7 linked regions of the Kluyveromyces lactis genome follow. The main gene of each other region encodes a partner of the protein of the gene in region 4 in a complex. Links are inferred from orthologs where the notes say so. Each region holds a gene or a part of one and is shown on either strand. Other genes may lie near its edges. The genes, in order: UME6, SAP30, DEP1, PHO23, RPD3, KLLA0_E19933g and RXT3.

Region 1 (4,278 bases), on a different chromosome or scaffold from region 4:
GATTGAAAAATGTGTTTACCTTTCATGTACTGAAGTGATTCACATATAATTATTTTTAACGCCTTGTTTTTCTCTATTCCTTAGTTACTGAAACGACACTTTTTTAAATTTTATCTTAATTATTCCAAATTTTGGTTGTAATGTATGTGTCTATATTTTGTATGTTCTTTTATTTTATCTTATTTTATTTTGTTGATCCTCATATCATCTCAATCCTCCTTTGAAAGCAGCATAAAGTTTAAATATTGAACTACGTTGTCTTTTGAAATCATTTCCATACTATTCCCTAAGCTTTGTGCTTAAAATACGTACAATTCATACATTGTATATTAAAGTCAGTCTACACATTTATTACAGCAAATATATCTGAGTATATTATATATTGGGAGGTGAACATAATCATAAAAGTTCAGTCAAAAATGGTATCTATAGAGTTTTGAGGGGTTGTCCATTATTGTAAAAAAACTGAGAACACCTGATGATACAGATGTGTGTCTGAGAAGAATTTAGAGATGATTGTCTCTTTGATTATAACCAAGTCTTCTTTTTCATTGCTTGTCTCTTAGCTTCTTTTGTTTTCTTTTTAATTTCTTCGAGTTTTGCTGCCTTTTTAGCAGGATCTGAAATAAAATCGGGTTTTACTATGTCGTAAAAGCATTCGAGGTGCAACCTCACGCAGTTCTGGCATTGCGGTTTCTCTTCTGTACATTTCTTCTTACGCAATCTACAGATCCAGCAGCCAGTTCTTGACCGTGCCCCCGTAGCATTTCTTTTCTTTATTTGATCACTTGATTTGACCATTTGCTCGTTAGAAACATCATTATTGTAATTAGATTCTTTAAACTTCAGTTGTTTGGCATGTTTGGAATTCGGTGACAATAATCCAGTGTGTTCAGTAGATAATGATGAAGACCTTGATCTTTTTATATGCATACCATTTTCCGAGATATCCGCAGCGGGGTATGCCGTAGTATCTGGATGGTCTCCAATCTCATTTTTAATTCCTGTCAATTGAGATTGATAATGTGGTGGGCCTGATCTTCTTCTGGACAATCTTCTTTTTCCATTCTTATTCCATGCAACAGTTTCTGGTGCCTTTGATCCCCCTTCGGTCATTTCGTAATCACCATCGCCATACCCGTCATCATCATCATCCTCTTCTTCCATTATAACGAGTTCATCCTGGTTGCCAGTCAATGGTCGTTGGTTAACCCGAAGCACTGGCTTAGGTAAAAGTCTTTTGGAGAACGGATTAAAGGCATTATTTTGGAGAGATTGGTTTGATAATGACGAATTCGGTCGGCTATCATGATTGCCAGAGCCGAACTGTTCGTTAAATGGGGGTAATGGGGAAGACCTCATCTGAGAAATGATTGCGGCAGCTTCCGCATCCACGTTGGAATCTTGATCATTCAAAGTTGGGTTGACCATTGTGCTATTATATGGATACTTGTTAGCCGACTCTACTTTCGGAAAAGCGTTTGAGGATCCTAATAACACTCTATTCCTTAACTCATCGAATTTTGTGTTGAAATACTTCGGTTGGTAGGTAATATGTGTATTATTGTTATTACTGTTTGCTGTGCTACCGTTATTACTGCCACTACTATTACTGCCACTACTAGAATTACTGAAAGGACCATGAACCTGATCGGTTTCGAACATATAGGTTGGAGAAACAATTCTATTCATGGTAGATGAGACCTGCGGGTTTTGATTTTGATATTTTGGATGTAGGAAGGATCCTGTGGAGTGAGGAGGATTTGACGCTGCTGAGGATGGGAAATGAATAGTGTATTCATTTCCTGCCGTAGATGGAGGGGGCGAGATTGATTCTGCTGTCGATCTCGAGTTTAGTAATGAAGTAATATTGATCTTTTGAGCTGAAATTGATGAGATGCCTGCACCCGGATCTATTTTCTCTGTGGAACAATCAAAATGTAGTCTTTTTGGAGTCATGGCGCTTCCTGTGGCATGCAGATCTCTATCACGGGAAGCGCTCGAGGTCTCAAGGATCGGCGAAGATGAAGGCGCAGCAATACCGCTCGCACCGTCATGTGAAACAGTTCCAGGATTACCAATGTTTCTGCCATTGCCCTTTTTGCCTTCGAGTCTATGTCCGCTTTGTCGCAGCATGCGTTCATTTTGATGACTACCAGTATCAGCTTGAATTTCCTCGCCCTTTCTTGAATCGTGAAGTGTTTCTGTTTCACTCACTTGACCAGAGTCTATCCTATCGTTGAACAAATACACGGGAGTGCGCGAGTCTTGATATAAGGTGCTACTCCCTTTCCCAGTGTTCGGCAGCGTATTGCTACTGGATATACAGATAGATGGTGTACGCGTATTTATTTTTGGAACATGTTGTTTATCAGCCGAAACCACGTGATCAAAGTCTTGGGTACCCGTTTTTTTCTCAAATTTCACGGCAACCTCCTTTTCCTCTTGCTTAGTCTCTCCGTAACGAGGAAGTGGCGGCAAAACCTCGGTTTGAGGCTTTGTCCCTGGAATCCCGGAAGGCTCTCCACGTGAAGGAGAGATAACACCCTGTTGTAGATCGTTTTCCTCCACAGGCGTATTATTCGGAGCAGCAGTAGGAGACATCGCTAAATGTATCAAGGGGTTGAGCCTTGGTGTATGTCGCAGCAGCGTTTGTTTTTCACCTGTTTTCACTCGTTGTTGTTTTTCGTTTTCTTGTTTTTCATCAATTTTGGTCACTTCCCGCTGGGCGGTTAGCTCCACTTGGGCGGCGTTTGTTTTTGAATGTTCGTCAGGGTAACTTGGCGGGGTACTTTTCTCCGGCACATGCATTTTGGAAGATAACGGAGAAGAGGAGGATAAACGAACAGAGTTCACAGCACGCCGCTCAATTTGACTTTTCTGACGAACCATCTATTCCGAAGGTTCTTTTATATTTGAAGAAAACTTCAGTCTAAGTTTCAGGCCAGCGCTTAGCGCCAAGAGTTTGTGTTACTCTTGAGTTAAAAAAAAACCGATTCTCTCCTCACCCCCTTATAAGACTCTTGAAACTAAACACAATCAGGTATTAAGCCAGGAGCTACGGAATGAGCGGGTTCGTAATTAGTAAGAGAGATTGAACCAGAAGCCTGTCAATTCATAGAGGATCGCGGTTTCAATGAATGTAAGCATTCATAAAGAATAAAAAAATAAAGTAGAGTATATTACAATAAACTAAAACAAGTAAGAGAAATCAAACATTTGTAAAATTCGATTTATATAAATAAATAAACAACGCCTTGGATGTGATTTTCGAACGAGATTCAATTAGGCGTTTTTTTGCCTTTTTTTGAGCGAAAAACTACAGGAAAACAAGCGCAGAAAACGAATCAGAAGGGAGAAAAGGGAAGAAAAAAGGGAACGGCAATGGTACTAGCCATCTAAGCAAGCTCATTGACCTTGCTTTGCTTCTCGGTTTTTTGTTTTTAGTAGGATATCTGAAGTTTGTAAGGTGCACTGCTGTTATACAGTAGCTGATTACATATGTAGCCCGCTAAGATGGTGGGTTTCTTTAATTACCCGTGGGAATAATTTTTGACTGTTTTTGACTTTTCTTATCCATTGGGCGTATCGCTTGACGAAAATTGTCTTGAAACTATTTTACACGCTGGAAAGGGAGAAAAAGATTTGAAAAGAGTAAAGACCATGTATTACCCGGTCATAATCAGTTGTTCCGGCTTAGTAACTTTTGGGCCCAAAGTCTTAATCGATTCAGGCCAAATATAAAGAGTTTTGACGGGAAACTAGAGTAAAATCGATCTAAAGTGAGATAAACTACTTTTGTTAATGTAGTATGGTATTTATAAAAATTAAATTATTGATGATACTTATCATATGGATTTGCTAATATACATTTGTTCCAGATAAGTTGTAGATTAAAAATAATTAAAAAGCACCGCTTATTCCTGCATCTTTTCAACTTTCAGATAGTCTTCTCGTCGTTGTGAAAAGTATTCATTCTGGAGAAGGAAGTAGTGTATTGTTCGAACGGATCGTGCACTGCTCTCTTTTCTAAATCATTTTCTGGATTGTCGACTCTGTCCTTGATGCCGAAGTAATGTCTCTTACCATATTTGTATAATTCAACGCCTGCCCAGAATGCGAAACTAAATCCGATTGCGAATCCCCATTCGTAACTGATATTGTAATGTAAGAACACTTTGTCGTTGATTACTGGGATATAAACCACTGGGAACACGGAACAGAACCCACCAACAATGGACCAAAACAAGAATTGATTGCTCCAGATGTCCTTGAACA
Region 2 (2,533 bases), on a different chromosome or scaffold from region 4:
GGGAATTTTTTTTGGGGGCAGCCCGAAAACGGGGTTGTGGGAGCCCCCAAAACAATAGTTTTTCCGGCAACTCAATTTCCATGATTTTCCGATAGAAAGAGTCCCAGGTGATTCAAAAAGTATACCTTTGGAACATATTGGTGAATTGGGACAATTAAGGCAATTGCTATGGAATTAGGGTTCCAGTCTGCTATCAGGTGAGTGGTAATTGGGCTTGGTTTTGTGGGGCAAGAATGGTTCCATGTCTTGTCGATGCACATTGCCATGTGTCTACTATGGTGGATGCTGTAGGATGCGATAAGATCAGAAGCAATTTGGACCTGGCCCTTGCCGGAACGGCAAGTGATGTCCAACGGTGTGTCATGAGCACGAATGTGTACGACTGGGAATTACTGGAGCCCCTGCTGCTAATGAAACAACTGGATGATGAAGGTCCCGGAATCAATGTTAGTCTTGGTGTGCATCCCTGGTATTGCCATTTATATCAGTTAGATAGGTCGCTTTCTAAGGTAGGGCATTATAGGAATTGTCTTAAATGTAAAGACGAGGTACAGTTGATGGAATTGGTAGAGCAATTGCCGGATCCAGTAGATTTGTCAAGTTACTTGTCAGATGAGCGGGTTTCTCGTGTGGGTTGTATTGGCGAGATCGGATTGGACAAGGTTTTTCGGTTGCCTCAGAATGGCTTTCTCGTGAGCAATAATGGGACATCGTTGGAAAGAAGTAGTTTAAGCAATGTAAGGGTAGAGTTTGCACATCAGATCCAGGTATTTGAAACGTTATTAAAAGTTGCAAAGGGAAGGGGGTTGCCGGTTTCGATCCATTCTGTGAAATGTCAAGGTACTACTTTTGATATTTGCAAGAGAATATTATTGGATAGCGAGGTGAACATATGTTTGCACTCGTTTACTGGGACATTGGATACGGTGCGGCTATGGCTGGCGAATTTCCCACATGAACGGCTTTTCTTTAGCGTTTCGTGTTGGATCAACTTGAAAGACTGGGATTCTGGTGCTGAGCTGTTGAAGAGTTTGCCCTTGCAGTGTATTTTGACAGAGACAGATTGTTCTGTGGATTCAGTGTCGTCGCAAGAGCAACGACAGATGCTAGATTCCGTTCTTGACGCCATTTCAAGAGCTCACGGCATTTCCAGGACTAAGGCGATGGACACGGTATTACAAAACTTCAATAGATTCTTACGTAAATGAGATGAGACGCAGGGACTGCATGTATGTTCTTTGTTTAATGTAGTCATCCTCTATATCTAATTCCAAGTTATTCCCACTTATCTAAGAAAAAAAAGTGTCTTAAGTACAAAATTTTGATCTTTTTGAACATTTGTCCAGGTGGTAAAGGGCATTACCATGTACTGCTCCATACCATCTCAGGTGTCAAATAGAGTGGGTGCTGTACAGTCACAAGGATCTTACACGACATGGCACCAAGGGGACACAATAACTCAAATTCAGAGTCCGAATCTAAGGGCAAATCATCGAACAATGCAACTTCAGGTGCATCGACCAGGACCAGTGTGAAACAAAGACTCTCGAGTGCTCAACAGCAATACTTGAAGGACTTGAACAAGAAACATATACATAACAATCATCCGAAGAATGAGCCGCTCCCAAATCCGATGGATTTCGAACAATACTCCGATGAATTTTTAAGGCGGTATAAGGATAGGTTCCAATTGAAATCTCCAGATAATCTATCAATACAAGGGTACCTTCTAGGATCAAGGATTGGGAAACATACTTACTCGGCGAAACGAAACCAGAAAAATGTACCAGATGCAAGGGTTACGAAGCAGGAGCTTGCGAAAGGTGTCAGGGAACACTTCGATAACTATACCGTTCGAGAAGCGGAATGCCTTCCTCAGTTTATTTACAAAGTACAAAATCAGAAAAAGAAGTTCAGAATGGAGTTTAAGGGATGAAGCGGTGGTGTTGCATAGCTCACTTCCATCTTGGGCATGTAATTCGACATCAGCCTAATGGCTTCATCTATTTGTAACATATATGAATAATATAGAACGTAATAATCAAGGATATCAACGGAAATCTATTTGGAACTAGCGTTCTATACGCTGATTATATGCACTGCAGTGAAAAGGACAGATTGCACAGCAAGCTGTACACACGTCCTTCTGCTCTTTAACATTTTTTTCCTTTACAGGTCGTTTACACAATTTTTCTCTTTAATAAGAAATGAATGATATTAATTATCATTCACAAGTAAAAACTGTAACAAGACAAGTATTTGCTCCATAACCAGGCATACTGTGTTTTCCTGTCTCCAGAATAATTAATATCACAGCAATATATTGAGAGCAGACAGAAATTATTGTGTTAGATAGAGTATCTGAATTAAAACTTTAATCATGGCGGATCAAAGTTTCACATTATTTATCATTTTGGCTATTGCCGGTTATATTGCTGTGAAATGGTTTTTGAGCAATAACGAACAACATCCATCCATCCAAATCAATGGTTTTTCTTCGCAATCAGACTCTGCCACGGCTTCAGGTACCGCC
Region 3 (3,619 bases), on a different chromosome or scaffold from region 4:
AGTTGTCATCCTCAAATGCCCTTTTAATTTGGACATCAAATCATGATATCGATCCCTTTGTTTCTTATAGAAAAATATCATCGGGTTGGATACGGTTTATTATAAGTTTTATTTCTATCCTGGTGTCTTAATAAAATAAAGATATTTCGCTTCACATTGGAATCTGACCAATTCATCACAACCTTTCCTCACTTCACAAGGACTACTATTTTTGGGGTTTCTTTCTCATCTTTTTATTATTTACGCTTTTATCTCTACCAACGTCCAACAAATGTTTAATTAGTAGGAAGTATATCTTCTATTCCATATATAACATACATCTTTGTATATTTTAAAATATCAAGGTTTCTCGAATTCACAGATGTCAATTCGAATACACTTTCATATCGTGGAAATGTTAAAAGTGCTATACATATACACAGTCATGCATATATTATACTTGTAAAGATTACACATCATAACAAAACGATAATTAAATGATGATTCATCAAGATGACATTTTATTGACTATTGATAAGAGCGTGTTTTCTGGTTTTTGGAGCACCTAGTGAAAAATTATATGACCTATTGTTGATGCTGTATTCCTGCAAGATCCTCATGAATTTCAGAATCTTTTAAACCACCAAGTTCAGGAGCACCTGGGAATCCTCCATAGAATTTCCTTATACCATCTAAGTCGCTCAATTCATTATTAAACCTCATTCTGTCTACAATGACTTCTAACTTATCGACAGGGTTGTTATGATATCTGAAATTGATATTTTCACATAATAAATCTTCTGATAACAAGTCGCCTGGACGTCTCAGATTGGCAGGAGCTGCGTATCCGGTTATACAACTCAAAGATTTATTTGAAATTTTTATTGGAACGTGATAATTTACTTCAGGTACAACAACGTCCATTTCACGTCTCTCTTTATTGATGTCATACCACTTCTGGGTTGTGTTTCCTAATAACTTATGTTTCAAATCTGAGACCTTTCTGTAGAAATCTTGATGAATAAACGTTCTTGTCGCCCTAGTTTCGGTATCTATGCACTCCAGCTCATACTTTTGCCTTTGGTACATTCTCTTTAGCTTAAAGTCCCGTATCGAAGCAATCTTCTGATAATAAGTCTGTAGTTGAGGATGTGATCCATCTAGACACATCTGTAGCTCATTCTGTAATTTGCTCAGCTTGTTTTCATATAGACTCTGTCGCAATTGAGCAAATTCGACTTCAATATTTGTTAGTTCTGCCAAAGCGTCTTGTCTTATCCTTTCCTTCTCCATGGGCGATAGTCCATTATCGGTAGAATCGACGCCAGGTGTATCTGTCTGTTGTTTCTCATCATTATCTTCTTCTACTGCGTCCATTTCGGGTTCTAATTCTTCCTCTTCATCCTCATTATTGTCCTCAACCTCACTTTCTAGAGTACCATCATCCTCAGCTTCTGCATCCGCGTCGATATCAACATCATGATCTCCGTTTTCATGCGTTTCATGCTCGTCTTCATAGTGACCTGATTTTGACTCAGTAGGTAATTTCGGTTTCTTGAACACCTGTTCAGACTTGACATGCTCCGAGCCGTTCTCTAGGGACTGTTGCTCTTCTTCACGGTTATGCTTTAAAGACACTTCTGATTCTTCTTGCGATTTGATCTCGTTATCATTCGCCTGCTCCTCTACTACCGGAGCATGCTGTTCTTGTTCATCGTTTGCAATTGTTTCTTCTTGACTGCCTCCTTCGGCAGGTACAGATACTTCGTCCTGGTTTTGGCTTAGTGCAAGTTTATTTGGCTCTGTTGTATGATCTGTATCAGCAACAGCGTCATCTTCATACGGTACTGGTTCAGGTTCTGTTTCGGCTGGTTTATCTTGCTGAACGATTGGTCCCTCATCTTTTGAAGGAGTAGCAAGTTTAGGGGCAGATTCTTGAATATAACTACCGACACCATTATTGATGTACTCTTGTTTTACAGTCTTCGAAAGATTATCATCATTTTGTTTACTTTTGTCATTACCGTTACTTTCAATCGAATTGGATGCCATTTCCGATAGTTTGACACGTGATTCGTCCTCTTCTAAATCCATCTTTTCGGTCTCAGCGTCTGATGAGATGTATATGTCCGATAGAGAGACTGAGTTTGGATGTTCTGGAGAAGTGACCTTAGATAATCCACTGGTACTGTTATCGTCGTATTCTAATGTACCAACCTTTGAGGGACTCCCTGATTTCGATTTCCTTGAATAACTATTTGCGTTAAAATTAACAGAATCAGAATCCGAAGCAATCTTCTCTAAAACTTCTTTGGTAAGTTTCGTAGTGGGGGCAGATCTGGTATTATGATCGTCAATCTCACTCGCAGCCTCTACACTGTTATTTTTGTTTCTCTCTGGCTCCATTTGAATGATTCAAAGATAGTACCGTTTGAATTCAAAAAGAAAGAAATCCCAACGCATATAACCAATACAACCTTTGTATTACTCCAATCGGCTGATGGCAAAGAAAAAACACTTAGCTTATACTCCAATGCAGAAACACACAAAATTTAACCAGCAAACCGTTTAATATGCGCAGTATAAGTTAAGAATTGCTGCTTGAATAGATTGAAAGTTGATACCTGACACACTAAAACAAAGGGCTGCAAATATACCTTACTTCGCGTAATTCTTATTTTTACTAGCAAAACAGTTATCTCTCTCTATTCTTAGTAGTACACAATATTTTAAATCACGTTTGGATGAGATCTATGTATTGATTGCTGACTGGCCATAACTATATGTTCATGCTAAAATCAGACTGTATTTTTATTCTTAACTTATATTTCGGCATTTCAGCACTATTTACAGTTTGTACGTTTTTTAAGGAAAAGGAACATGATGTTACCCGGCCATATAGTACATTCCACGGTGTTAATCACGTGACTACGATACATTCGATTTGTCCATAGAGCGTACGCTTTTCTTCCGCATTTCTTTTTGGTGGTAAATTCATGATTTCTGCTGGCTTTTCTAGGAAGTGCAGGTTTTTCACTTTCGATAATTCAACAGACAAATGGATAAAGCTCATCGCATCGAAGAGACTTGGACAGCCACCAGCAGGTTTAGTGCAGAGGAATAACGTTTGTGTTGGTGAACCAGGGTCTTTCAAACATAACAAACCAAAATTATATTACGGGATGTCCGCATTGAACAATTTATTTGGAAATTCCAAATCAGACGCGGCAGGTACATCATCGATTGCAGCGTTATTCTCCAAACCTAATCATGTCGATGAGCGTAAAGTAAAGTCGAAAGCTAGGACTGTGCTAACTGAGCCTGAACAGGATAAGGATGAACAAGAAGAAGAGAATGTCCAGGAAAGTGCTTCTACTGTCTCCGAAGGAGTAGAGAAAGAACAGGAAGAACAGGAAGAACAGCCGAAGAAGAAAAAGAAGAAGACCAAGAAGAATGATGAAGAGAATGATAATTTGGAAGTTCAATATTATTCTAAGGTATTAGGTGATTCTAAATCTAAAGATGAACCTAAGGATGAACCTAAGGACGACTCTTCCGATAGTGATAATGAAGATGAAGCAACTGCAGTCGATAAGTCTTCGATTACCGGCACGGAATCTGAATCTGCTAAAGTTATCAA
Region 4 (2,962 bases):
ACAAAGAAGAGACAAACTGAGGAGATCAGAAGCCATATTCCAGCACACACACAATAACATACTTTATTTAACGACATTTCGCAGTGTACAAATGTAAATCCCTCACTATTTTAATCTACAACGAGGTCCCTCTTTTCCCTATGATATGAGCAATGATTGTGCATAGGTGTTGTCAACGTACATAAGTAGAATTTAACAAAGCTTATTATTATAAGGTACAACAAAAATTTTTTTTATTTTTCTAAATTTTTATTTCAAATTCGGTAAGTATGCGAAAAGAGACAGATTACATGAATTGAAGGAACCCTTTTTTTCTCATCAATACGATGCTGCTGCTTGCTTATTATTATTTCTTTCGACAAGAAATGGAAATGGAAATAGAATTTCCCAAAAAAATGATGCTTGACCAGATCAATTATATTCTCAGTAGTTGCTGAGATCGAGGTTGAATATCTCAAGGGTTTTTTTCCTTTTGCATTTATGCATCATGAACTGAGTGACGAGACAGTGATATATATTATATTTATTTCCGGTGGTAAATATTATGTTGGTGCAGCTAGCTAATTCTTTTTCAAACAGTCATCGCAGTACCATTTCCCTTTAGGTAGCGTTTCCAAGCCAATGCAGGGAAGATGGAACCATTCTAATTGACAGTTTTCGCCATCACATCCAACCATTTCTCCGTATGCGACCTGATTACAGTAACAATACAGTGCTTCTCCATATTCGTTGATCTTTGGTCTGTTTTGATACTTATTTGATGCGTTGACTGCATTTACAGCTGTCGTGTTACTCCCGGTAACGCCATTGTTAGCAGCCGTGGTGTTTACTCTTTTTTTGTTCCTTCTTTGTGCGGCAGTACTATTTGCAGAAGAGTTGTTATTGTTTGAACTAGATGTTGAGACAGTAGTTGTCCCGTTGTTATTTCTCCTTTTCTTAGTGTTCGCTGGTTGTATATCATCTGCATGAGAATGGCTATTGTCATTATGGTTGTGGTTATGCGCATTTCCGTTCTTATGACCTGCCATAGTGGAAGAGCGGTTGTGACCATTTGTTTGAGTGTTTGCTCCTTGGTTTGGAGCATTTCCATGTGATCCTACCGCCGCAACTACTGGTTCTGATCCTGCGACTGCTGTGGAGGCACCGGTTCCAGAAGTTGAAGTAGAACCAGCTGTGGATCCGACAGAACCTGAATTTGCCGTTCCAGCAGCGTTCCCACCTTGAACAGCAGTTCCCCCAGTTGTCTTCTTTGCAGCCATGGCTTCTCTACGGGATTCACTTTTCAGTGCTTGTTGAGACTTCGTCATTACATTTGATTCGACCTTAGCCATAAGCTCACGATGCAAATGCATCGCTGGATGGTTATCGTTACCTAGTCTTAACTTCTCTGGAATCTCTTGATTGGAAATAGCAACCTCGTAGGCTAATTCCAACCTGTCCGTTAACCTTTCTAAAGAATCGTAGGCTATAGATGAAACATGCATCTTCTCTTCCAATGACGGGATCAGCTCTTGAAACCATTGGTTTATCACACGTAGAGGAACCTTGGACTCATCAGGAACGTTTCTCCCACCAAGGAATCCTTTAATGCATTTATTTAGTTCAGGAATTATATTAACGCATTTAGCATCAATTTCATAGAGTAGAGTCATGTACCGTGAAACGTCTAATGGCACCTCTTCCAATACATCACTAATATCATTAAGACCAGGGTATAAATTTGCAGGTGCTGCCATATCTTGAGTTGTATTGTCTATGTCTCGCTATCGTGATATGTAGTACAGCTTGTGATTCCTACTGGATTGAGAGATCTTTTGAATCACACAAATGTCAATACACTACATACAACATGTAATTGTATTGCGTGCACTTATCCGGTATGCTAAACAATTCTAGTTACCTGACCTAAAAGAAAAGGTATAAATTTGATATTCAAAGCTTTTAATAAGACTAAGCGAGAACCTGAAGAAAAGAAAAATAGATCACGTGAAAATTATTATCACGTGATTGGTATTAAATAATCGTTTTGGATTCTAAGTAGGTTATACAATGGAAAGCTCGGGGTTTGTTTGATTACGATCATCCGTGAAACCCTGTCCGCAATCTTTTGTTTATGTTTTTTGTTTTCACTGTTGTCTCCTTCCACCTGTGTCACATTTGTCACTTCATTTCCCCCGCTCTAAATAGAAAAAAAAAAGGCGATTAGAATTTTGCTGACACTAAATCCTGTCGGCATCGGGTAAAATAAGGTAAAAAGGGAATATGTATCAGAAATAATGAATGGATCACGCAGGGAAACAGCCGCAGGGATCCCGTGCGAATTTGGAGATGTTCCAGCACATGACCTTGTACTTAAATTGTAGAGTATCTGTTCTTTCATTTGTTGTCATGCATTCAGGGCTGATTCTATTTCTAACGGCCAGTCACACAAAATGTTGTACTGATTCCTTGTATCAATCCTAGATTATCTCTACAAAGTCCGTTAACTTGAGAATTTTTTTGGTGATGACTATAATGATTCACCAAGAAAGTCACAATCCTGGACCAAAAGAAAATCCTGAATGTTTGATGATTATGATGATGATATGATGTTAATGATCAGCAATATCATGGCTAATTACTTTCATGAGGAAGAGAAACGTTTTTTTTTTTTTTCGTAGATATATAAATCACAGCCTTTCGGTGCAAACCTGAAGCATACACTTAGATAAGAAGAACATTCAGTACCGAGGTATATGAAATTGGTCTGATCAAAGTGCACCAAAGCTAACGTATATATATACAGTATCACTTCGACGAACACTATTGAAAAGGGAAAAATGAGTGACGCCTCCATTGAAATTGAATTGGAAACATCGCATGTTAATGATGTTTCCCAAACAAAGTCACAATTAACAGAAAATTTGAAGTCATTAGCTGCAGGCGGTGTTGGAGGTGTTTGTGCAGTGTTGACCGGACATCC
Region 5 (3,264 bases), on a different chromosome or scaffold from region 4:
GATCAATCGTCAAAGCTGTCAAGTACAAATGTTACCAACGTCTAAAGCAGAACGACCTTCTAATTGATATGACCGATATAACTGCAGTCATAAATATTGCAAGAGATAGATTCTCAGACTCTATCGGAGCTCCTAAAATTCCTAACGTGACTTGGGATGATATTGGTGGGATGGATGTGGTCAAAGGAGAAATCATGGATACCATAGATATGCCACTCAAGCACCCTGAACTATTTTCATCTGGTATGAAAAAGAGAAGTGGTATTCTTTTCTATGGACCTCCTGGGACTGGTAAAACCTTGTTAGCGAAGGCAATTGCGTCTAACTTCTCTTTAAATTTTTTCAGTGTTAAAGGGCCTGAACTTCTTAACATGTACATTGGTGAATCCGAGGCAAATGTTAGACGTGTCTTCCAGAAAGCAAGAGATGCTAAGCCATGTGTCATTTTTTTCGATGAACTTGATTCCGTGGCACCAAAGAGAGGAAATCAGGGAGATTCTGGGGGTGTTATGGATCGTATTGTGTCTCAACTTTTGGCAGAACTAGACGGAATGAGTTCAGGAGGAGACGGAGTGTTCGTAATTGGAGCTACGAATAGGCCAGATCTTCTTGATGAAGCATTATTACGTCCCGGTAGGTTTGACAAGATGTTATATTTGGGGATATCAGATACCGATAAAAAACAGGCAAATATCATCAAGGCTTTGACGAGAAAGTTCACACTAGAATCTGGTATCGATATACTAGATATTGCCAAAAAATGTCCGTTCAACTATACAGGTGCAGATTTCTACGCATTGTGTTCTGATGCCCTTTTAAACGCTATGACTAGAGTTGCTGGTGAAGTTGATGAAAAGTGGGAGAAGTATAACATGGAAAATAAAAAGAATATATCATTGAGGTATTGGTTTGATAACGTGGCAAACGAGAATGACTTGAAGGTCGTGGTAAAATTACAAGACTTCGAGCTTGCTCAACAGAATCTAATACCAAGTGTTTCTGAGGATGAATTAAGACATTACTTGAGATTAAAGAGTAGTTTCGAATCTCAATGATCGTTAATAAGTAATCATATCGAATATTATTATAAATCATATATAACAAATATATTAACTCATCCATGCAGGATGATCTGGTCAGTAAAAAGTTGGTCTACTTCTTAATCTTCTTCAACTCGTGTAACATGACAGATCTCTTTAAGGCTTTTCTTCTTTCTTTAGCTGCTTGGAAATTCTATATTGATGGAGACGGTGAAAAATGAAGGTAGTGATTTCTATTAAAACCTTGATTTATGTCGAAAACATACCAAGAAAGCTATATAAACAAGAGGTGAAAAATTTGTACCGGCTCTCCAACTTAGCGAAACTATTAAGATTAATTGTGCGTGGACGGTATGGTATACGAAGCTAAACCTTTTGACCCGATAACGGTGAAGGCTAACGAGAAGAAGCGAGTTGCATACTTTTATGATGCTGATGTGGGAAACTATGCTTATGGTGCAGGACATCCTATGAAACCACATAGAATAAGAATGACACATTCGTTGATTATGAATTACGGTTTGTATAAGAAGATGGAAATTTACAGGGCTAAACCTGCAACGAAACAGGAGATGTGTCAGTTCCATACCGATGAATATATTGATTTCTTGTCTCGAGTCACTCCAGATAATTTAGATATGTTCCAAAAGGAGAGTGTGAAATTCAACGTTGGAGACGATTGTCCTGTGTTTGATGGTTTGTACGAGTACTGTAGTATATCTGGAGGTGGTTCTATGGAGGGTGCAGCCAGATTAAACCGAGGCAAATGTGATGTTGCCATTAACTATGCTGGTGGTTTACATCATGCCAAAAAATCGGAAGCTTCAGGGTTCTGTTACTTGAACGATATAGTGCTAGGTATCATCGAGTTGTTAAGGTACCATCCTCGTGTTCTTTATATTGATATTGATGTGCATCACGGTGATGGTGTAGAAGAAGCTTTTTATACTACGGATCGAGTTATGACATGTTCTTTCCATAAATATGGGGAATTCTTCCCAGGTACTGGTGAATTGAGAGATACTGGTGTCGGGAAAGGTAAATACTATGCTGTGAATGTCCCATTAAGGGACGGTATTGACGATGCCACTTACAAATCGGTATTTGAACCAGTCATAGGTAAAATTATGGAATGGTACCAACCTTCTGCCGTGGTACTCCAATGCGGTGGTGACTCTTTATCCGGCGATCGTTTAGGTTGTTTCAACCTTTCAATGAAGGGTCACGCAAACTGTGTCAACTACATGAAATCGTTCGGTGTTCCTCTCATGATTGTTGGTGGTGGTGGTTATACAATGCGAAACGTGGCTCGTACATGGGCTTTCGAAACGGGTATTCTGAATAATGTGATTTTGGATGAAGAACTTCCTTACAACGATTACTACGAATATTATGGCCCTGATTACAAATTGGATGTCAGACCATCTAATATGTATAACGTCAATACACCGGAGTATTTGGATAAAGTGCTACTTAATATTTTCAGCAATCTAGAGCATACTAAATATGCCCCAAGCGTTCAACTCAATCACGTTCCTCGCGATGCGGAGGACAAAGGTGACGCCGAAGAAGATACTGCAGCTGCGAAGGACACTAGAGGAGGTTCTCAGTATGCAAGAGACATAACCATTGAGAATGCAACCGAATTTTAGCCAGAAAACAAAAACAGATGATCTTTTATTATTTACTGTATTATAATATATTTACACTTAGAAGTACTCTTCCGCATTTGCTACAGGTTTTATCGTCACTCACCTAATCACTGTTATATGTCATTCATCCGACGGTTAATATGATGCTGAATATACAGATTGGTGCCCAAGTTAGAATTGATCTAATGAGGTCAATTTTCTATCGTGTTTTCCCTCCGTCAGTATCGGTATTTGCCATAATTTTCCACGTAATACTATTCCAGTTCAGATATGACTTACATCTGCACTTCGGTTGTCAGTAACAAATCTATATATGAAAAAGATCAAAAAATGAAAATCCAGAAGCGAATGGATATTTAAAAGTTAAGATCAGATAGGTCGATTACACAAGAATAAAGCTTATCCTATTTCATATAGAGATATATATTATCTGATAGTAGATACGTTGTATCTAAACATTCAAATCACAGTTAGTAAATTTTGCAATGGCTGTTAAAGGTTTGGGTCAATTGGATCAAGTTTATGATGGTTCTAACTTGAGAATTGGTATCGTTTACGCTCGTTGGAACAGA
Region 6 (3,706 bases), on a different chromosome or scaffold from region 4:
TCTTACGGAATAGAGTTTGAATATTAATTAAAGGATAACCTAATCATAGTAATGCGTGGCCATGACATGTGTTTATGAGAAGAAAACTGATAATAGTGTAATATCTAATATATGCATGTATATATGTATATGATTGTAAGAATAGCGAAAATTAATGCCATCATTGATATAGCAGTAAAATGTAAATAACAAAACAACGTAATAGTACGCACTTTTCATTTAAGTGTTTATGCAAAAGGAGCAGCCCGTGTCCCTTTGCTATAATAAACTGAATAGGGACATTATTATGACAAAAAATAACCATATGGTACAGTTCAAATGATTTGGCATAAAGATAACACTGTAACAGTATTATTGATGTTCTATTGTAGTTATAGTACTTGTACAATGGGGTCATAATCAGGAAAGTGTGTGCGTTTATGTGATAGTAAATCAACGACAATGATGATTGAAGTAGCAGCGACTGGCGCCACGATACACTTCGGGGTTCATGTTCATACATGTCTGAAAGTGGTTTGTAAAGTAGTTTTTTAAGTTTTTGGTTCTTGATAATGGTATTAATACAGACAGTTTATCATCAAACAATGTGCTTGAATATCGTATTCAAACTAGGCAGTGGCTGAGTTGGCACTTGCGGTAGTCGATGGTTTTGTGGTGGTTGAGGAGATTGCGATGAATTCGGAGTGAACTGGGGCGTTTGTTCATTACTAGCCTGTGTTTGAAGAATTTGCTTCGGTACGCTGGCAGGCATCCTATTGCCATAAAAAGATGAGTTGTTCACATCAGAAATAGTTGGAGAATGGTCTCTCAAGGAATGAGCGTCCGGTGAAAACACTGGCGATCTCTCACGAGCGGAAGAACCAGTCGAAGATGTTTGAGAAAACGTAGGAGATTCATCTCTTAGCTGAGTTGGGGCAATAGAGTCTTCCATGCGGCCAACAATCTCTACATCAACATCAACATCGTCAATGTCGTCATGCTCCTCTACGGCAGTATCTGGTGAGTAAGTAGAGTGGACCTCATCTGAAGAACTCGATTGATTAACATTGGCGGAAGGACTAGCAGTACTAACTGCATCGCTAGGCGTTATATGTAACGAATCCATTCTCCATTGGATCTCTTGTTCTGATCTATGAGGTAACAAGATTGAAAGCTCATCAATGGACAAGTGGTACCTTTGACGTTTTTCTACCAACAACTTATCCTCATCGCCAGACCAAGGTTTTGCAAAGCCATTGAATGATCCAACGGCACATACGGATGAAGGAGGGGGTTGAGAGCTTTGTTTTATGGGCATATCAATGAAACCTGCTTGCATAGACTCACGTCTAAACTGAGAGACAGAGTTCCTTCTAGACATAGATGGATTCGTCGTGAAGCTTTCTCTCCTTGGATTCGCGGAAGATGCGGGCAAAGTTGATGAAGGCATGACAACAACGGAAGATCTTCTAGAAGATCCGTTAGAAGACATTGGGATGAAATGCCTGTCGGATGCTACGTTGAAAGAGGAACGTCTGGAGCGCGAGGAGAAGGAATTTTTCCTTGATTTCGTACTGGCCAGGTTTGGCAAGTTCGATTGTGGAGTGTTATTCACAACGACCGCGGAACCACGTCTACTCTTGATGAAGACTTTTGGAATAAAACCAAAATTTTCCTCTTGATCATTGAAATGGGGCATATTTGGTGGGGCGTCCTGTGAATGAGAGGAAGACCTGGGCTTTATAAATTTCCCATGAGGAGCAGGAGAAGCAGTAGAGAACGGAGACTTGGACAACGATCCGGAATGTGCAAGTCCGTTTACCGATAGGACACTAGATCCAGCTGTAGCAGCAGATGACGAAAAAACACCCATGTTGCTATTGTTATTATTAGTAGCACTCCCACTACCATTCAACCCATGAGGTGACGAAAGAACGGCACTATTGGTAACTTTTGAGGTCGGAATTGGCATGGGCATGGGCATCGGTCCCGTAGAACTAGACTTCTTTGCCGTATTCTTCTTCGCCGTCGAAGAGGACCCAGTGTTTAAAGATTCCGCGCTCAACGTAGGTCCTGCAGAAACAGCCATTGGAGCAAGTACTGGAACAGTCACATTTAACAACTCATCCTCCTCCTCATCCTCCTCCTCTGGCGACTTCACCGTCTTTAAACTGCCAGATTTTAACCTTCTCCACCGAAATTGGCACGCGTTAGGAGTTCTATTCGTAAAATACTGAGCAATATCCTTCCATCCCAGTCTTTTCACCTCTTTCAAGTGTCGCAACAAGACATCGTCCTGAGGTTCCCACGAACTCGGAGTCCTACTGGAAACGTTTTTTGGTGCAGTCATCTACCCTTTCACTTAAAAATATTGTGAGTTATAATTGTAAAGTATCAGCAACCAAAACAAAATCCACTATTTAGAGCAGTAAAACCAAAATTCAGCTCAAAAATTTTCGAAATGTAATCAAAACGACAGTAACAGCTTTCTAATAGCTCTAATTCTCTAGCTCAAAGACCTGTTCTCATTAACACAACGAGAGGGAATAAAAATTTTGAACGGTCCAAAATAAAACCGACAGTAGTTTATGAACGATTTTTCTTTTTAAACAACAAAAAATCGCCTTAAATTCCTTCCAAAATCGGCTAACAATAAACTAACGTATTGACAGTTATGCTCTGAGTCGATATCACTGAGGTCAGACTGAGTACTGAACCAATAAAGACAGGTTTCTGCCTAGGAAACAAAGAGTGTCAAGTTAAATGACAAGACTCGATGAGGTCGAGTTTAGTGGCTTTTTCTTCGTCGCGATGAGTTGGAAAAAAAAAAAATTTCGAATTTTTTCAGTGTGACAGCGATGAGATGAGGTGACAGGTGAGATGAGAAGAGATGAGATGTGATGTGAGTATACTGAGTGAGGGTCCTGTATCTTACCGTTCACGTGTCTTTTTTTGTTTTTTTCGTCTGTGTACTTCTTGCAAATGGGGTTCCCCGGTTGGTTTGGGACTGGTGCGTTAGTCTACGCCTTCGGAAAGCTATTGCAGTAGTGTGTAGAATGTGTCAAAATAAGCTTATGGGAGGTAGGGGGATGCACTCCGGGAGGTGATAAGTGCGTTGGTAGGCCATTGGATAGGCTTCGGAAGATACCCATTACACGATATTTTTGGACATCGTGTGGCATGTACGGTCTGTGAATGTTTCCATGCGGACTTGAGTCACAGAGTGGAGCTTAACCTTACATCCGGGTAACACTCGAAAATTCTGTACAAGCCATCTCACGATGCGCAAGAGGATATGCAACTCATCCCACTTCAGAACGATAAAAGGACTTCCTGTTTGTTTGGCATATTTTCGGTTCATTATGGCCATTGTATATCACTGTGAAACAGCTTCTACACTGTATATGTCCAGAGCACTTCAGAAGATGACAGGTTTGAAACAGATAAGGTACTTTGACATTGGGTTCAATATCTCTGATCACATGTTCAAAGGGAAATACCATGGCAAGAAGCAGCACGAGACGGATTTATCCAATATATTGAACCGTTGTAGATTGACTAATGTGGATAAGCTGCTGATTACCGGATCTTCACTGGAAGAATCGAGACATTCCATTAAGCTTTGTAGTGAATTTGCAACTGAAAATGGACCAAAGATGATGTACACCATCGGGGTGCATCCGTGTCAGGTTAACGAATTCATGCCCAAACACTCAAAATCGTACCG
Region 7 (2,908 bases), on a different chromosome or scaffold from region 4:
TGTAAAATGTAAAACCAGGGGTAAAAAGTCACCCAGAAGTTAGAATCAGTGAGACCCTTACTCTAACCTAATCTTTAAGTATACCAAGAAACAAGATTCAGGGTCTTATGGGTCACTTTGTAGCCGTTAACGTCTCGAACACTTCTCTTATGGTCGGTCTTTTCAAATCTTTTTCCCAATTATTAATCTTATTGAATGTCACTAAAAGAATAGAAGGAACCTTCAACCAATTTAAAAGAAGGTTGCAGGGACGTATAAAATAGCATATATATCAGACCTCTATGTTTAGAAGGTTTGCATGGCAGTGGAGATAATGGTAGTTATTATTATGATATTACATTGTTGAGTAATCTATACACAACGCTTTTACATATACAAATGTACATATTCTTTTCGGCACGCATCGATGCAGTACGCACGGCTTGCACATAACCGATTTAAGTCAACTTTCTCGTCACTTGTACGAGACACATGACGAAAGAAAATATATTGGGGGACGGAAGATACCGGCTGCTGGCCTTTTTCTTGATGCAGCGTTACCACTTTAGTGACTTAGTCTTGTCAGATTGTTGTATCTCATTTAATGTGTTGTCCATCACCACAATATCAACATGGAAAATTCCGAACGACAAACCGTCATGGACTTGCCCTGTCCATTCTCTGGATGTGATATTATTTCTCGTGGATGACGCATAACCTTGAAGAGGTGGTAACATTAGGATGTCCACTTTGATCGCAAATGGAATTTCACGTTCTGGGATTGCTCCTGTCACACTATTTTGGTCCGACATATTTGTAGGAGTTCTTCTCAATTTAGTTTTCAAAGAGTGAACATTGGATGGCTTGCCATTGCTGTTTTGATCCAATGGTTCAGAAAATGGCAAAACTCCACAGTGTTGAAGTACTAATATAATATCCGAATCGTCGGTATATATATCTGTGCCCCATATCTCTCGGTTTTGGTACCGTATGTTCTCACTACGGGCCACTTGTTGTAAATATATGGAATCGATCTGTATTGTAAGGATTGAGTTGATATGGTTATGAGACATCCTTGGAATAAAAGGTCTCGGAGATCTGATGGTCTTGAAATTATAAGGGAATGGAAGGGCTTCCAATTTCGGATCCCCAGGAAAAACACCAACTCTCATGGAGTCGTACTCCAAGGTGGCCAAAGGGCGCCGCTGTAGTGCGTAATTCTTCTCTGTATATTCAAGGACAGATTTAGAGTTTACGTCTATTTCGTCTTCGTCATCTTCAGGTTTGCTGTCTGGAGCTGCAGTTTCAAGGGTAGTGTTGTTTTCAGGTTCCCCTGTTTGGGAACTTTCATCTGCAACATTCTGTGTATTAGCCGGTGCAGCAACTGCTTCTTCTGATGATGATGATCCGATTTTACCCGTATCCTGATCTCGGGCCTGTTTGGACTCCCTAGAACTATTCAGCAGTGTCTCTTGCATGCTGTATATCCTGTTTTGGGTTTTTCTGTACAACTCATCACTCATATTCAAACAGTGGCTGAAAGCTGTTGAATAAATCAAAGTTTTACCAGCTATACAATCGGCAACTAATCAATTGAGCCACTGCGAAGTTCTCAGCTTGTAATAATGTATCAATCGACCCTGCTCAGGAGTAAATTTCTCTCGATTTATATTATGAATTCACTGTGTATTCGATGTACAGATGGAGATTCTTTCATTAACAACATTCATCACCAGTTTGACCATAATAGTCTATATACGGGACTGTTATAACATCCGTACATTCGTGAGGCTTCATTTGTTCCACTGTAACATCCGTGCACTCTGATGTAAAATAGTTTTATGTTTTCATTTTCTATAATAGGAAACTTTCATTCCGCATTTCGCACTTCGAATGACACAAACATTTCTAGGACATGTTGTGTGTGGGAAGCAATGATACAGGCCTGAGGAACCTCGCTTGACAACGCCCGGCGGCCTCCGATGACAGGTTTACCCACTCTGCCTAGGATGCCAATTCACCTTTCTAGCTCTACACCCCAGCCGGCAACCATTCCTTGTCCAGAGTGCAGGCATTCCTCCGTCTACTGGAACCAGCCTGGGCAGCCACCCAGCCAGGTTTGGACATACTAGGCGTTTCACCCACCACTGGCTGCCTTGCTCCAGCCTAGTGCCTAGTCTATTCCCTCCAGTACCAGAGAGAAAGTGTTGATTTTCGATGAAATATTATTTGGATACTGAGAAATAAGCTATATTGTAAGTGGTGAAATTAGAGGTTTCTGAATGTTAATAGGCGTTTACGATACTGTTTATTTGATTTGTGTGTTGGTTCTTAATAGAGAAGAACGAAGCAGTACACTGAGGAACTATCGAATACAAAATGGCCGGTTTGAAAGACGTCGTTACTCGTGAATACACCATCAACATGCACAAAAGAGTATGTTAGCTTTTACCAATGATGAAACAAAATTTCGAAGTGAAATTACACAATAGATACCAAAGTGGATAAGAGCAATGAGAAGGGGAGTTTAAAGATCATATACTGTATTTGAATGCAACATTGCATGTAAGTTTGCACACAATGGAGATACTTTGGGAGAATATGTGGATATTAAAGACCGGAGATGAAGTCTATTTAGTTTATTTTGATATCATTAGAATGTGGAGAAAATATACACCATGCTATACGTCCTTGTGAAAACGCTAAGTTTGTTTCTGGAATATAATGTTGAAAAGATGGGTTATTTGTTTATCAATGTGAAATAATTTGAATATTGATGATTGATTTTTATCCGAGTGAAACAGGCGATTAAGAGACGACATTATCGGTGAATACGCACTGTATTTTACTTATGATCAATGTTCCTTTTTTTTTCCAACATCTTAACAGTACAGTATCTTGAACAGGTATTTTCCAATTGCTCCCACCA

Evidence for each region.
Region 1: PHO23 (region 4) and UME6 share a complex: the UniProt entries of both Saccharomyces cerevisiae proteins name them as parts of the RPD3C(L) complex. The link is inferred for Kluyveromyces lactis from reciprocal best matches to the Saccharomyces cerevisiae genes PHO23 and UME6.
Region 2: PHO23 (region 4) and SAP30 share a complex: the UniProt entries of both Saccharomyces cerevisiae proteins name them as parts of the RPD3C(L) complex. The link is inferred for Kluyveromyces lactis from reciprocal best matches to the Saccharomyces cerevisiae genes PHO23 and SAP30.
Region 3: PHO23 (region 4) and DEP1 share a complex: the UniProt entries of both Saccharomyces cerevisiae proteins name them as parts of the RPD3C(L) complex. The link is inferred for Kluyveromyces lactis from reciprocal best matches to the Saccharomyces cerevisiae genes PHO23 and DEP1.
Region 5: PHO23 (region 4) and RPD3 share a complex: the UniProt entries of both Saccharomyces cerevisiae proteins name them as parts of the RPD3C(L) complex. The link is inferred for Kluyveromyces lactis from reciprocal best matches to the Saccharomyces cerevisiae genes PHO23 and RPD3.
Region 6: PHO23 (region 4) and KLLA0_E19933g share a complex: the UniProt entries of both Saccharomyces cerevisiae proteins name them as parts of the RPD3C(L) complex. The link is inferred for Kluyveromyces lactis from reciprocal best matches to the Saccharomyces cerevisiae genes PHO23 and DOT6.
Region 7: PHO23 (region 4) and RXT3 share a complex: the UniProt entries of both Saccharomyces cerevisiae proteins name them as parts of the RPD3C(L) complex. The link is inferred for Kluyveromyces lactis from reciprocal best matches to the Saccharomyces cerevisiae genes PHO23 and RXT3.

What each region holds. Positions count from the first base shown.
Region 1 is NC_006042.1:1,922,762-1,927,039, reverse strand, and holds UME6 (DNA-binding transcriptional regulator UME6), read right to left. Parts: upstream 2,893-4,278; coding exon 529-2,892; downstream 1-528. Other genes in the region: KLLA0_F20658g (uncharacterized protein), read right to left, coding at 3,941-4,278. UniProt on the Saccharomyces cerevisiae protein: Component of the RPD3C(L) histone deacetylase complex (HDAC) responsible for the deacetylation of lysine residues on the N-terminal part of the core histones (H2A, H2B, H3 and H4).
Region 2 is NC_006041.1:986,026-988,558, reverse strand, and holds SAP30 (Sap30p), read left to right. Parts: upstream 1-1,435; coding exon 1,436-1,936; downstream 1,937-2,533. Other genes in the region: KLLA0_E11243g (putative endodeoxyribonuclease), read left to right, coding at 234-1,208; CUE1 (Cue1p), read left to right, coding at 2,381-2,533. UniProt on the Saccharomyces cerevisiae protein: Component of the RPD3C(L) histone deacetylase complex (HDAC) responsible for the deacetylation of lysine residues on the N-terminal part of the core histones (H2A, H2B, H3 and H4).
Region 3 is NC_006042.1:735,820-739,438, reverse strand, and holds DEP1 (Rpd3L histone deacetylase complex subunit DEP1), read right to left. Parts: upstream 2,386-3,619; coding exon 565-2,385; downstream 1-564. Other genes in the region: rRNA-processing protein NOP12, read left to right, coding at 3,162-3,619. UniProt on the Saccharomyces cerevisiae protein: Component of the RPD3C(L) histone deacetylase complex (HDAC) responsible for the deacetylation of lysine residues on the N-terminal part of the core histones (H2A, H2B, H3 and H4).
Region 4 is NC_006039.1:1,143,100-1,146,061, forward strand, and holds PHO23 (Pho23p), read right to left. Parts: upstream 1,737-2,962; coding exon 561-1,736; downstream 1-560. Other genes in the region: Ras family GTPase RAS1, read right to left, coding at 63-77; CRC1 (carnitine:acyl carnitine antiporter), read left to right, coding at 2,820-2,962. UniProt on the Saccharomyces cerevisiae protein: Component of the RPD3C(L) histone deacetylase complex (HDAC) responsible for the deacetylation of lysine residues on the N-terminal part of the core histones (H2A, H2B, H3 and H4).
Region 5 is NC_006041.1:185,605-188,868, reverse strand, and holds RPD3 (histone deacetylase RPD3), read left to right. Parts: upstream 1-1,393; coding exon 1,394-2,692; downstream 2,693-3,264. Other genes in the region: PEX6 (AAA family ATPase peroxin 6), read left to right, coding at 1-1,055; lumazine synthase RIB4, read left to right, coding at 3,178-3,264. UniProt on the Saccharomyces cerevisiae protein: Catalytic component of the RPD3 histone deacetylase (HDAC) complexes RPD3C(L) and RPD3C(S) responsible for the deacetylation of lysine residues on the N-terminal part of the core histones (H2A, H2B, H3 and H4).
Region 6 is NC_006041.1:1,773,957-1,777,662, forward strand, and holds KLLA0_E19933g (SANT/Myb-like DNA-binding domain-containing protein), read right to left. Parts: upstream 2,330-3,706; coding exon 578-2,329; downstream 1-577. Other genes in the region: SAS3 (histone acetyltransferase), read left to right, coding at 1-20; KLLA0_E19955g (3'-5'-exodeoxyribonuclease), read left to right, coding at 3,261-3,706. UniProt on the Saccharomyces cerevisiae protein: Component of the RPD3 histone deacetylase complex RPD3C(L) responsible for the deacetylation of lysine residues on the N-terminal part of the core histones (H2A, H2B, H3 and H4).
Region 7 is NC_006038.1:261,919-264,826, forward strand, and holds RXT3 (Rxt3p), read right to left. Parts: upstream 1,503-2,908; coding exon 537-1,502; downstream 1-536. Other genes in the region: RPL31B (60S ribosomal protein eL31), read left to right, coding at 2,359-2,415. UniProt on the Saccharomyces cerevisiae protein: Component of the RPD3C(L) histone deacetylase complex (HDAC) responsible for the deacetylation of lysine residues on the N-terminal part of the core histones (H2A, H2B, H3 and H4).